Coturnix japonica: one gene and its partners. The protein of the gene in region 3 purifies or fractionates together with the protein of the main gene of each other region. This does not show direct contact. Links are inferred from orthologs where the notes say so. Each region holds a gene or a part of one and is shown on either strand. Other genes may lie near its edges.

Region 1 (4,187 bases), on a different chromosome or scaffold from region 3:
CTTTGCTAAAGGGAACACTGGGAATAAGTGACAGACTCAGGCTTTGTCCTGGAATCCTGCCCTGCCTGCAGCAAATTCAAACCCACTCTCTTGGTAAATAAAAACTCCTCTGGATTCAACTCAGCACAGACGATTAAGGAGTTCCTATTGTGGGGCACTGGGAATCTGGATTTTAAAATAGTGCTTCAAGTTGGCCTAACAGGAAAATGGAACATGCTGAGTAAGACCCAGTCCTTCTCTCAGCTCCGTGCACATAACCAGCCCGTGAGCTGCTCACAGAGCTCTGGTAGCAGCATGAAGGGCACGGCAGCAGCACATCTTTCCATCAGCAGGCAGAACAGAGCTCCAGCCTGATCTATAGTCTAACAGAGCCTGCCCCATCCTCACTTATCAGCTGCTTTCTCCCAGCTAACAGACACACAAACACCTCTCAACAGAGAAACTCCAGCTACAGGCTTGAGAAGAGCATCACAAGAGGAAAGTCAAGGGGTTGGTGATGTGCCTCTCACCTGGCGGCTTTCGCGAGAGCTTCCGGGCAGTGACCACATTACCGACATCCAATAGAGGCGCTACTTTCTCATGTTTATTCCTGTAAACTACAAACATAAGACACACTGAATCATAATTCAGAGAACAGGAACTCCTCGAAGAAAAAAGAATTAAGTGAAAGCTTCCTCCCTCACTTTTTCTTTCTCCCTCCCACTTGAGCCTTGCAGTTATTTCACCAGATTGGTCACGGTTTGGACAGCACACCTCGCTCTGCACAAATGGAACAGCAAAAAATGCAAAAAAAAAACCACCACCCCAAACAAACGCCTCTTCCCAGGCAGTACCCAAGTGGCAGCTCAAGCAAGTGATTAGAGGAACCAAACTGAGACAGCGAGGACTGGCTGGAGCCTCCAGCGCTGCTCTTTGCTGGTTTCTCTTGGGGTTTTTGTTTTTGTTTTTCTCTGAGTCGCAGAGAAAGCCAAAAGACCAACGCGAGTCCTATCCCTGCTGGCAGCGCCGAGCCAGATCCAGCTGGAATGTCAGCCCTGCGTTTCATCTGACTCAAAACGCACCCTCAAAATAAAACAAGCTACTTTTTTTAACCTAGTCATAAAGTTTATTAAAATCGTTCATTAATGCTTCAAATGTAGCAAGAATGCATAGATCCCAAAATATACATATGTATTTTCATATAGAAATAGATTATTCTTTATAATAAAAAAAAAAAACTGTAGGAACATCTTTAACAGATTACTCAATCCATGACTGACAGTTACACGAGATTGCATCATGTACACAGCATTCCCAGCCATGCTTAAAGGATTGCATCACTTCGCCCTCGCTCTCCTCTCGCCGTTTTAAATAACCCCAGCGCCCAGCAGAGCCCCGGGGCCGCGGCCCCCCCCGCGCCGCCCGCCGCCCCCTGGCCCCGGGGGGAGGAAGCAAATAGAGACCGAAACAACAACAAACAACAACAACAACAACGAAACCCCCGACGAAACCGAAAACGCGGCCCGGCCCCGGGAGGAGGATGTGGGGGGGGGGGCAGCGTTCAGCTCGCCCCGCGGCCCGGCGCGGGGGTCAGCAGCGGGGCGAGGAGGCGAGCAGGGGCTCGGGCAGCTGTTTGAACAAGTTCCTGAGGGTGCTCAGCTCCCGGGTGAGCTGCTCCACCTTCTTCTGCAGCCTCTCGTTCTCGGCCGTCAGCTCCAGCACCTTCTGCTGCGTCTCCAGGTTGCGCTGCTTGGCCTTGTCGCGGCTCTTGCGCACCGCGATGTTGTTGCGCTCCCGGCGCAGCTGGTACTCGTCGCTGTTCTTGTCCACGCACTTCTTGGGCTTGTTCTTGCCCGCCGGCGGCCCCGAGTAGCTCCCGGCGCCGGCGGCCGACTTGGAGGACTCGGAGGGGTTCGGGGTGCCGGGGGGGCTGGAGGAGGACGAGGTGGACAGGTTCCCGCTGCTGCCGCTCGGCACCGACTGGTAGCCCAGGTAGGAGCGCACGGTGCTGCCGTAGGGCGAGGACATGCCCCCCGGTCCCGGCCCCGCTCCCCCTTCTTCCTTACGGGGCCCTTTGCAAGAGTCCAGGGTCTCGAAGACCGGCTCCACTTTGGTCTCCACGATCTGGGGCGGGAAGCAGCCCGGCAGCCCCCCCGGCTTGTGGCTCTGGCTGCCGCACGGGTGGCCGTGCCGGGCGAGGCTGATGTAGGTGTAGTCGGGCTTCTTGCCGCCGCCGCTGCCTTTATAGTCCTCGGCGAAGAGATCGGAAAGGAAATCTTGGCCGCCGCTGCTGCAGGCAGGCTCAAAGTTGCCCCCTGCTGCTGCTGCGGGAGGCGGCGGCTGCGCCGGCTGCTGGGATGCTGCTAAGGGGTCCAGATACGGGCTGAAGTCGATGGCTCTCTCGTGGTCCCCTACGGTGAGCTCGGTCATGGAGCGGCCCCCGGCCGCCCGCGGGTGCAGCTTGTTGAGAGCAGCTAGACAGTCCGCCTCGTAATAGAAATTAGCCACTTCCATGGATTTAAAGGCGGGCGGCTGAATGGGGAGGCATGCTGCGTCCCAGGCCACCAGGCGTTGCATGAAAGCAAAGGGAGATGCGGGGAGGAGAAGACGGCGCGGAGGGCCCCCCCGGCACGGAATCGAGCGGCCGCCGTCGGGTGGGGGTCTCCCGAGCCCGGCGCTGGGCACGGCCCCGCTGCGCTGCCCGCCCGGGCGGCTCAGTCCGTGCGGCGCGGCGGGGCTCTCCCGCTCCCGGAGCTGCGGCTGGAGCTGGCGGTTCTCCTGCGGACCATCTGGTTGCGGGGCCCGTGTCCTCAAGTCTCTGACTTAGGAAAGTTCCTTCGCTCTGTTATTTATAGGGGCGGTGGATCCCATAGCAACAGGCGCGTCACCGCCTGGCCGCATGCCACGCTGCACGCTTCGGAGCTGCCGCTCCGGCCCCCGGGACGCCGCCGGCTGCGGGTGCGGGTGAGGTGCGGGCCCTGGGGCAGCTGTGCGGGAAAGGGACCGCACGGAGCCGCCGCCGCCAGCATCGGGGCGGCCGAGACCTCCCGTCCCGTCCCGTCCCGTCCCTGTCCCTCGGCTGCGGGGAAAGCGGGCACCGCTCGGTCCGGGACTCCGGTGCCGCCGCTGCTCTTTTGCCAGCGCGACGGGCCTTTCGCGTCTGAGAGCAAGGGCTGGCGCTGTGGGGCCGCGTGTGCCGCGCAGAATTGGGTGCAAAACCCGTCTGGGTCCCGTTTTACCCCTGGGGAAATCGAGGCAGAAGGCGTTTTTCCGAGCTCTTTTGCCAAAGCGGGGGAAAAAGCTGCAAATAGAAGACAGATCCTCTTATTCTCCGTCCAGCGCCTGACTGAGTGAACCGCACTGTCAGGCAGAACCGTCCCATTCAGACGCGGGCAGAACCATTTTACAAGAGCCGAGCGAGCGCAGTTTGGAGCGGGGCGCAGCCGGGGCCGCATCCTGACGGCAGCGAGCTCAGAGCCGAGCAGCCGCCGCGCTCCGCTCCCCATCTCTGCGTGCGGGGACCGTGACTGAAGTTTGCCTCAGTGTATTTACTTTGCACGATACCGTGCAACTGTCAGGGTACAAAGGCGACAGGGAATCCGCGGTCTGAAGCCAGAGGGGACCGTGTTTAAAGGCATTCCTTTAAACTCAGAGAGAGTGAGATACGTGCTCGGAACCGTGGAATCCGGGCACTGTCAGAATCGCGGGGTGAGTTTGGGAAGGAAGACGGAATCTCGATGTCCGTTTTAATTAAAGACACCCACCTTGGGAATCAAACTTTATTTTCACTCTCTTACTCCCACATTTACCTGTCTACAAGCTGGTGATTCATCCCCAGAATAAAGGACATTAATTTAAAACAAAACATATAATTAAAGGAAGTAGGAGTGTCCTTTGCCTCAGTAAAGAAGACCCAGCACTGCAGGGAAAATGACACTGCCTCTTAGAATAATGTGAAGCAATCCTGCGGTGTGGGAAATATGGTAACGTTAAGCCAGAGGAACAGGTATTGCATTATACGATTCAAACAGTCAACTGTTCATAATGTTCAAACCTCAAAACTTCGAAAAGAGGAAGAATTCAGAAATATGTCAGTGGATCACCAGACTTTGTCTTTCTTATATTTTTACGTTTACATTTCTTTTGCACATTTCAAGATGGTTTTGCTTTCCATAACAAAAGTACCCCAACAGGTTTTTGGGCTTCAA
Region 2 (3,648 bases), on a different chromosome or scaffold from region 3:
CAAGCCACTTCAGAGAGGTGCCCTGGGGAGCAGCAGCTGAGTCTGTTACAGCTCCATTCAGTTCTGGGCTGCAGAACCCTCTGGGCAGCGTGGCACTGAAGTTACACTGTGAAACGACTGCAGCAGTCCACCCAAGTGAGTGGAAGAGCTGTGCTGAAACACTCTTTGGTTACTCATCCTTTTAGCTGTGCTTATCTATTCATATGACATTCAACTGATTAACCATGAAAAGAAAGCCACTGACACTTCTTTAGCTACCACTGATGCTGTAACTGATAATGGAAAAGAAAACACTTTTCACCATGCTGAAAACAGCTCAGCACCTGATTGACTGGGTTGTCTGGAGCTTCTTTCCTGTTATAGCCTGTCTGCAGGGTCCCCACTGAAGGTACCCTTGTATTTTTGGGTCATTTGTGAGCACTGTGGCCTTGTTGCTGAGAGGGAAAAAAGTCACACATGAGCAACGTGGATTTTGTTGTTTTCTTTCCAGTGTTGGTAGTAGGTTGTGCTTTTTATCTCTGAGGCAGCAGCAGCAGTTAAATGAGGGAAGCTTTTCTCAGAGCTGTGTGTATTCTTGTTGGGGTTTTTTTGCTGGCACACAGATAAGTACAAATACATGTTTTGTTAGCTTCTATTTAATAAAGAGCTTCAAGGAAAGGAATAACACTTGGCAGCTGGCTGAGAGCACAGTGGGACAAGGCTGGAGATAATACTTTGCATATTTACTCCCTGATATGCTTCTGCTTAAATACCATTGTCACTTGGTTCTCAGCTTCTGGTCACCAAAACATACTGCTTGTCTGTCTGCAGAGAACATTTACTTCAAGTGTTTGTACATAAGTGGTGTTTCTGTTTCTCGGCCTTCAGATTATGGTGGGAGAATCTCTCAAGTTTTCTTTTTATAGGGAGTTTATAGGTTTGCATCCTTTGGTTTTACAGTGATGTAAAATTAGCACTGAGTCTAAAAATCCACCATTTTTTCTTTCTCTGTGTTATCAGCTGCATTTATGTCATACAGGACTAACATGTGTAATCTGTTCTGCACTTCTGTTGCGTAGCACACAGGGTAACCACATGGGATGTGTTTTTTAGGTGTCTTCTTTATCTGAGAGTGAGGATTCTCAGGACTCATCAGACAGCATAGGCTCTACTCAGAAAGCTCGGGGGATCTTAGCACGTCGTCCGTCGTATCGGTAAGTGCTGCACACACTTTATTTTGTGCTGTTTCTCGAACCCAAAAAGCAGCTTCTTCTGGCAGGTTCCTCTGTTCCGTCGACCCTTGCATTGTTTTCCTTCTCTTGAAACACGTGTTGGATCTACTCATGCACTGCTCAAATTGAGGATGCCATGTGAGCTGTCCTTTGCTGCAGGGAAACTTTGACTTAATGGACTGGAGGTTGACTTGGAGGTGATGCGGCCCAGGGAAAATTATTTATCAGCTCTGATTTCACTCCATGATGTCATAAATGCAGAGCATGAGTGAGCAGTCTCACCGTGTGCTGACAGAGCCAAAGGTCTTACTCTAAACTTTTCTGAAGTAACTTTCTGGTTATTTTTCCTTTCTCGTTTATTCAGACATTAGACAGAGCAAACTGGTTCTAACTGCATATTCAAGGTTTGTCCTTGAGAGAACAGGATCACGTTGCAACTCAGACAAATCCCTTCCTAGGCCAACTCTAAACCCCTGGAAAAATGTTTGTGGTGGAAACTGTGATGCAGGTCGTACTGAAATGAAATGATGCAGCTGCAGTACAAGACAGACTTCAGTACGAAGTGTTTCTGGCACACTGCAGGTTACTGAAATCTACTCTGGGTGATGCAGGTTCTCACTGCAGGTTTAACAGTCTGAGGATTTCAGGCTTTTAGAGGATAATTACTGAAAATGTGGGATTTGCACTGACCTGCACGTACAGATCTTTTATAAATCAGTAGCTGCCTTGAATTGCTGTTAACTCATGAAATGATTCAGATAATTAAATAAAAAACTTAGAATGTAAAAACTACAGAGATGTAATTACAGAAAGAGTTGGACCTCATGCAGAATTCTGGTAATCCTCAGACTCTTTCCTGTCAAAAAATTAGTGTTCATTTCTGCAATGCAAAATAGAAATAGCAGTTGTCAACTATTACTGCAGTAATTTGTGATCTTTGAATGCTGATACAGCTGATAAACCCTTTTTTTTTTTTTTTAATAGAAAAATTTTGAAAGATCTCTCTTCTGAAGATACACGGGATAGAAAAGGAGATGAGGAAAGTCCTGGGGTCTCTACTGTTACGTCCATGTCTGTTCCCACACCCATCTACCAGACGAGCACTGGACAGTACAGTATGTCGTACAAAATGTGTGCTTGCCTGCATAGATTTCTGCTAAACTTACAGTGAAATACAGACCTGTTTCTTATGCATTTGAGACTAAGATGAAATGCAGAAGTTTTGGTTATTTATCTAATAGTTAATAACATTAGCACAGTTTAGTATCTGAAAGTAGGCTGGTTACTAAAGGCTCACAATAAACTCTTTGTTATCTTAATTTTTTGCACATTCAGACAAGGTGTTCCAAAGATGTTTTTATGAAGCACATAACAGTCTGTTAGATTTAGTCCAAAAGGTGTGATCAGATACCAATGTATATCTGAGAGCTACACGAAAAGGCTCCTTGTGGGACACAGGAGAATGCCTGGAGGACCTCCTGTCCCCCGTGTTCATATGGTGGCCTTGATGTTCATATTGCTGTTTCTCACCTTTTTTTTTTGCTATTGGTCCCAGGGATGGGTTGATTAAAACCCTTCTGAAATCAGCAATGCTTTTCAGCAGTGGGTTGAGGTACAGATTTGCTGATTTGGAGAGATGTACATTGAGCAGCTTTATCTGTGTTTTATAATGTACAGTTACAGATATTTTTCTTGCATGTCCCTTTCTCTTTAAGTTGCCATTGCTGCAAATGGCTTGCAGCTGGCCAGTGCTGGTGCTGATGGAGTGCAAGGCCTGCAGACGTTAACCATGACGAATGCTGGCGGGACTCAGCCTGGGACAACAATCCTGCAGTATGCACAGACATCAGATGGCCAGCAGATACTCGTACCCAGCAACCAGGTGGTAGTGCAGAGTGAGTATGAGATTGGTTACAAGTACTGATCAGTAACACAAGTGTGTTTTGGTAACGCTGTTTTGACATGTTGTGCTGTGTGACTACTACAGCTGCATCAGGAGACATGCAGACGTACCAGATCCGCACCACGCCGACCACCACGTCCCTCCCTCAGACCGTGGTCATGACATCTCCTGTCACCCTGACATCACAGTCCAGTAAGACAGACGACCCGCAGCTGAAACGAGAGATAAGGCTGATGAAGAACAGGTATGTGAGTGCACTCGGGCTGCCTCGGTTGGTTCACTTAATGTGCTGAGATCACAGAATGTCAGGCATTGGGAGGGACCTCTAAAGATCATCTAGTCCACCCCCGTTGCTGGAGCCGAATCACCCAGATTAGGTCACACAGGAATGTGTCCAGGTTGGTTCTGAATGTCTCCAGACCCCACGACCTCCCTGGGCAGCCCATTCAGTGCTCTCTTACTTTTTTCTCGTGTTTTCATGGGACCTCCTGTTTTCCAGCTCGCACCCATCGCCCCTTGTCTTATCATTGGTTG
Region 3 (3,648 bases):
CCCATTGGTGTCATCTTTATGTAGGCTAAGTACAGATTTCTTAAATTTATAAGTTTCCCTGGTATCTTCTTGATTTTAAGTTAGAAGAAATCCTTTGTAGCATAAAACCCACTGAGGCTCCTGAATAATTATCTGAATACATTCAGATAGTTTTTACTGTTCTTCAGGTAACCTGTATTATTTTTAGAGAAAGCTATGTATTCATGTAATTACAAATCAATATCTTGATATATTGGTGCTGTCTCCTTTGACTCTGAAAATTATTTACAATGCATCTGTTCTCACATGGTATTTTAAAAGTAAAATCATGTGCTTTGTGTAAACTTGATTTCAGATCAGACACCAACACCAACTCGATTCTTGAAGAACTGTGAAGAAGTGGGCTTATTCAATGAATTAGCAAGTCCTTTTGAAAATGAGTTTAAAAAGGCTTCTGAAGATGACATTAAGAAAGTAAGTGCATACGTGCTTTTGGTCCTGCCGTTCAATTGAGAAGTAAACTTGAATCTATATGTTGTCTTTTAAACTATACCCGTAGTCATTGACCAGCCACCAATGTATAGTCTTCTATGGAGAGAATACAAAGTTAAGATTACTTTTCAGAAGGTTTGTTTACCTGAGTTGGTGTGAGTAGAATGGACACTGGAACACACCCACTATTTACACAGTCTGTTTTGAGCATTTAATGCTCTTTTATGAGGGACTGTCCACAGGTTTAAATGTGCTTTCTCCTATTTCTTCTATAACTTTCTAGTCCTAACTAGTTTAGGGGCCCAAAAGTGTAAACACTTCTCCAAATGAAAATTTTTGTGTCCCCTTTGAATGATTTTTACCATTGGCTGATTATATGCTTTAACTTCCACAGACAGTGATGTTTAAAATTAAATGGACTGTTTTATACATATGTATAAGTTTTTACAGAGTCAGTGTCTGGTTATTCTCTGTGAAGATTTTAGTAGATACTTGTGATTAGGACTCATTCCTGTGCATTCTTGATGAAAACTCACCTTTGCTTTGTGCTCACAGCTGTGCCTAATCTTAGCTGGTGAATGGTAACTTTTCCTAAAATCATTTGCATGATAATACAAATTCTGCTTTTGATTCTGACTTGGTTGTCTGTGAAATTCACCACTTTCTTGGAGGAAGTTACAGTTATCACAGAGTACTGAAAACATTCCAACTACTTTTAAAATTGATGTTCCTTTTCCAAGCTGACAAGAAGAAACGCAATTGTGCCAGATGTCTTTGATAACATTGGATTGCATAGCCTTCAAGTGTAGTGCTGTCCTTCCTCAATTATAACTTTCCTGTGAATCTTGGGAAGGAACTTCATAAAAATTTTTACCTGCAGTGGGAATTCAAACAAAGTCTTAGTGAAAAGCTGTATTTATACAGATGTTGGAAAAAGGAGGCTTGACTGCTAACACATGTGCATCAAGACCTTCCGGATGTCAGCACTTCACTGTTATTATTATAATAAGGCTAATATTTCTCCTTAGTTACTTATATTTTCTTGAGATATTTTAATTTTTGTGTGTGTGTTGGTTTTTTTTTTGTCTACACTGTTACATCTAGATGCCTCTAGATCTGTCTCCTCTTGCAACACCAATTATAAGAAACAAAATTGAAGAACCTTCTGTTGTAGAGACAACTCATCAAGATAGTCCTTTACCTCATCCAGAATCTACTACCAATGATGAAAAGGTCAGGATTCCTTTTTCATTTTGGAATTCACTATCTGAATCTTCTGATGATCTTTGGGTTTCTTGTACACGTTGATACCCATGTTATGTAACTGTTTGAAAGTAAATGACTTCATTAACCACAACTCCTGGATACATACTTAATTTGTTCAATTCTTTAGTTAGCTTTGCTCAGCACAATTTTCTATTTGCCTCACCTTAATTATTCAGTAAAGCTACGAAGGAAGTCAAACTTAGTATTGCTGCTATGTTAAAAAAATTGTTAAAATTGGGCTCTTTATTCTTATTTTATGCATCATCAGGCAGTAATCACAAAAAAGCAAATGAAGTGTAGCTTGAGACTATCCATGTGTACATTTTTGTGTTTATCCTGTGTTTTCTCACCAATTTTTTTGTGCAGCAGCATGGGATGTTCTATAAAAATGTACAGGGGTTGGATGGACGGTCTTTCAAAATTAAGCAGGAAAACTTTGTTTAAAAATCCATGCTCTTTCAGCTACAACAGTATGTTTAAAAGCAGTGATCTGGAGCAATTGCTCATTTAATGTTTACCTGAGGGCTGGGTTTGTGAGTTACTGTCTGTCTCAAGAGAATGTTGTAACTTAATCTGTTTCAGAACTACTGCTCTGCTGGCAGTAGTAGGAAGAAATAGTTTAATAATAAGGTTGATACATAACTTGCAGTGTTTTCATCGTAAGAAATTCTCTTGGAGAGCACAGAATTGAGCAAAGTTAATGAAATGAATTAATTAATGAAGTAGGAATGAAAATAAAAATAATAGGAGCAGAGCTTAGTAAGCAACATGGCTGCTCTGGTCAGTTTTTCTATGTGCATCGTTAGTGGGTAGTCTGCATTTGAGGGACATGGATATCATATTTGCAAAAATGAGTAGACTTCTTTGGGATTACGAGGTAATTCATACTGAAAGGGACCGTAAGACATTTCTATTCCAGCTTCCTGCTCAAAGCAGGGATTAGATCTGAGACTAAGACCAAGAAACTCAGGGCTTTATGCAGTCCAACCTTGAAACTTCCAAGAAGGGAGAATGAACGGTTTCTTTGCTTAATGTGTTCCAATACCAGACTGTCCATGTGAAGGCCATGTTTTTCTTTGTATCCAGTTTACCATTTCCTCTTGCACCACTTCTCTTATCCTCCCAGCAGACGCTGTATGTGACAGAAAGTGTGAGGAGTTTCAGTAGAGAATTGTCTTCAGAAAGCTGTTCTGATTTTTGTAAATTAGCAAAGACGAGTAATAGTATGTTATTGAAGTGATCGTGTAGTCCAAAATAGTAAAACTGGTTTAAAAGAATACACGTAAAGAGCTTCTTTGATCAAGCATATCATAGTCTAAATCTTAAATCTTCTTTATTTCGTAGTTTGGAAAGGTTTGTTTTTGTCTGCAAATAATTATTCTAAGTGCTCAAGTTTTGGCAGGAGAAAATATTAATATCTTATTTTACAGTAGTGGTTCAGTATCATTAGCATCATTACAAGTGCAAATTGTATCTAAATGCCTGGCAGTGCTTATAAACTTATTCATTACGTAATTCAGTGTTGTCACTGTAGCAGTGCTGAAGTGAAAAGCTGCTGCAGCTTAATGTTGTTTTGATGTCTGATTGTAGAGACAAGCTGAGCAAGGATGAGGGTGCTGCTTGGAGTGTGCTGCTGCTGAATGTGGCCTGCAGAAGTTGAGAAATGTGAGCAGAGTGTTGCTGTTTTCTCAGTTAGATTTTTTTATACTCCTTCTGTAGGTGTGTTGAAGGAGGGAAGGTTTGTTTCTACTCTTCAGGGCAGAGCTGGTTTTAAAATTCTATATGCCACCGTAACCATCTCCTTGGCTGAATATGTTTTAGTAGTCTTAAATGGTCACAGCCTGTTAATGTACGTGTAAGAGGGTTCTCATTTTCTTTGTAGTTGTCAGAGCTATTTCTTAGACACTCTTG

Evidence for each region.
Region 1: the proteins of ATF2 (region 3) and CEBPB purify together in Homo sapiens (affinity purification with western blotting; 3 studies listed by BioGRID and IntAct, with this or other methods). This does not show direct contact. The link is inferred for Coturnix japonica from reciprocal best matches to the Homo sapiens genes ATF2 and CEBPB.
Region 2: the proteins of ATF2 (region 3) and ATF1 purify together in Homo sapiens (affinity purification with mass spectrometry; 3 studies listed by BioGRID and IntAct, with this or other methods). This does not show direct contact. The link is inferred for Coturnix japonica from reciprocal best matches to the Homo sapiens genes ATF2 and ATF1.

What each region holds. Positions count from the first base shown.
Region 1 is NC_029535.1:12,271,758-12,275,944, forward strand, and holds CEBPB (CCAAT/enhancer-binding protein beta), read right to left. Parts: upstream 2,936-4,187; 5' UTR 2,557-2,935; coding exon 1,570-2,556; 3' UTR 562-1,569; downstream 1-561. UniProt on the Homo sapiens protein: Important transcription factor regulating the expression of genes involved in immune and inflammatory responses. Also plays a significant role in adipogenesis, as well as in the gluconeogenic pathway, liver regeneration, and hematopoiesis.
Region 2 is NC_029544.1:195,842-199,489, reverse strand, and holds part of ATF1 (cyclic AMP-dependent transcription factor ATF-1), read left to right. Parts: intron 1-1,092; coding exon 1,093-1,193; intron 1,194-2,195; coding exon 2,196-2,326; intron 2,327-2,926; coding exon 2,927-3,106; intron 3,107-3,198; coding exon 3,199-3,358; intron 3,359-3,648.
Region 3 is NC_029522.1:14,860,555-14,864,202, forward strand, and holds part of ATF2 (cyclic AMP-dependent transcription factor ATF-2), read left to right. Parts: intron 1-334; coding exon 335-453; intron 454-1,575; coding exon 1,576-1,704; intron 1,705-3,648. UniProt on the Homo sapiens protein: Transcriptional activator which regulates the transcription of various genes, including those involved in anti-apoptosis, cell growth, and DNA damage response.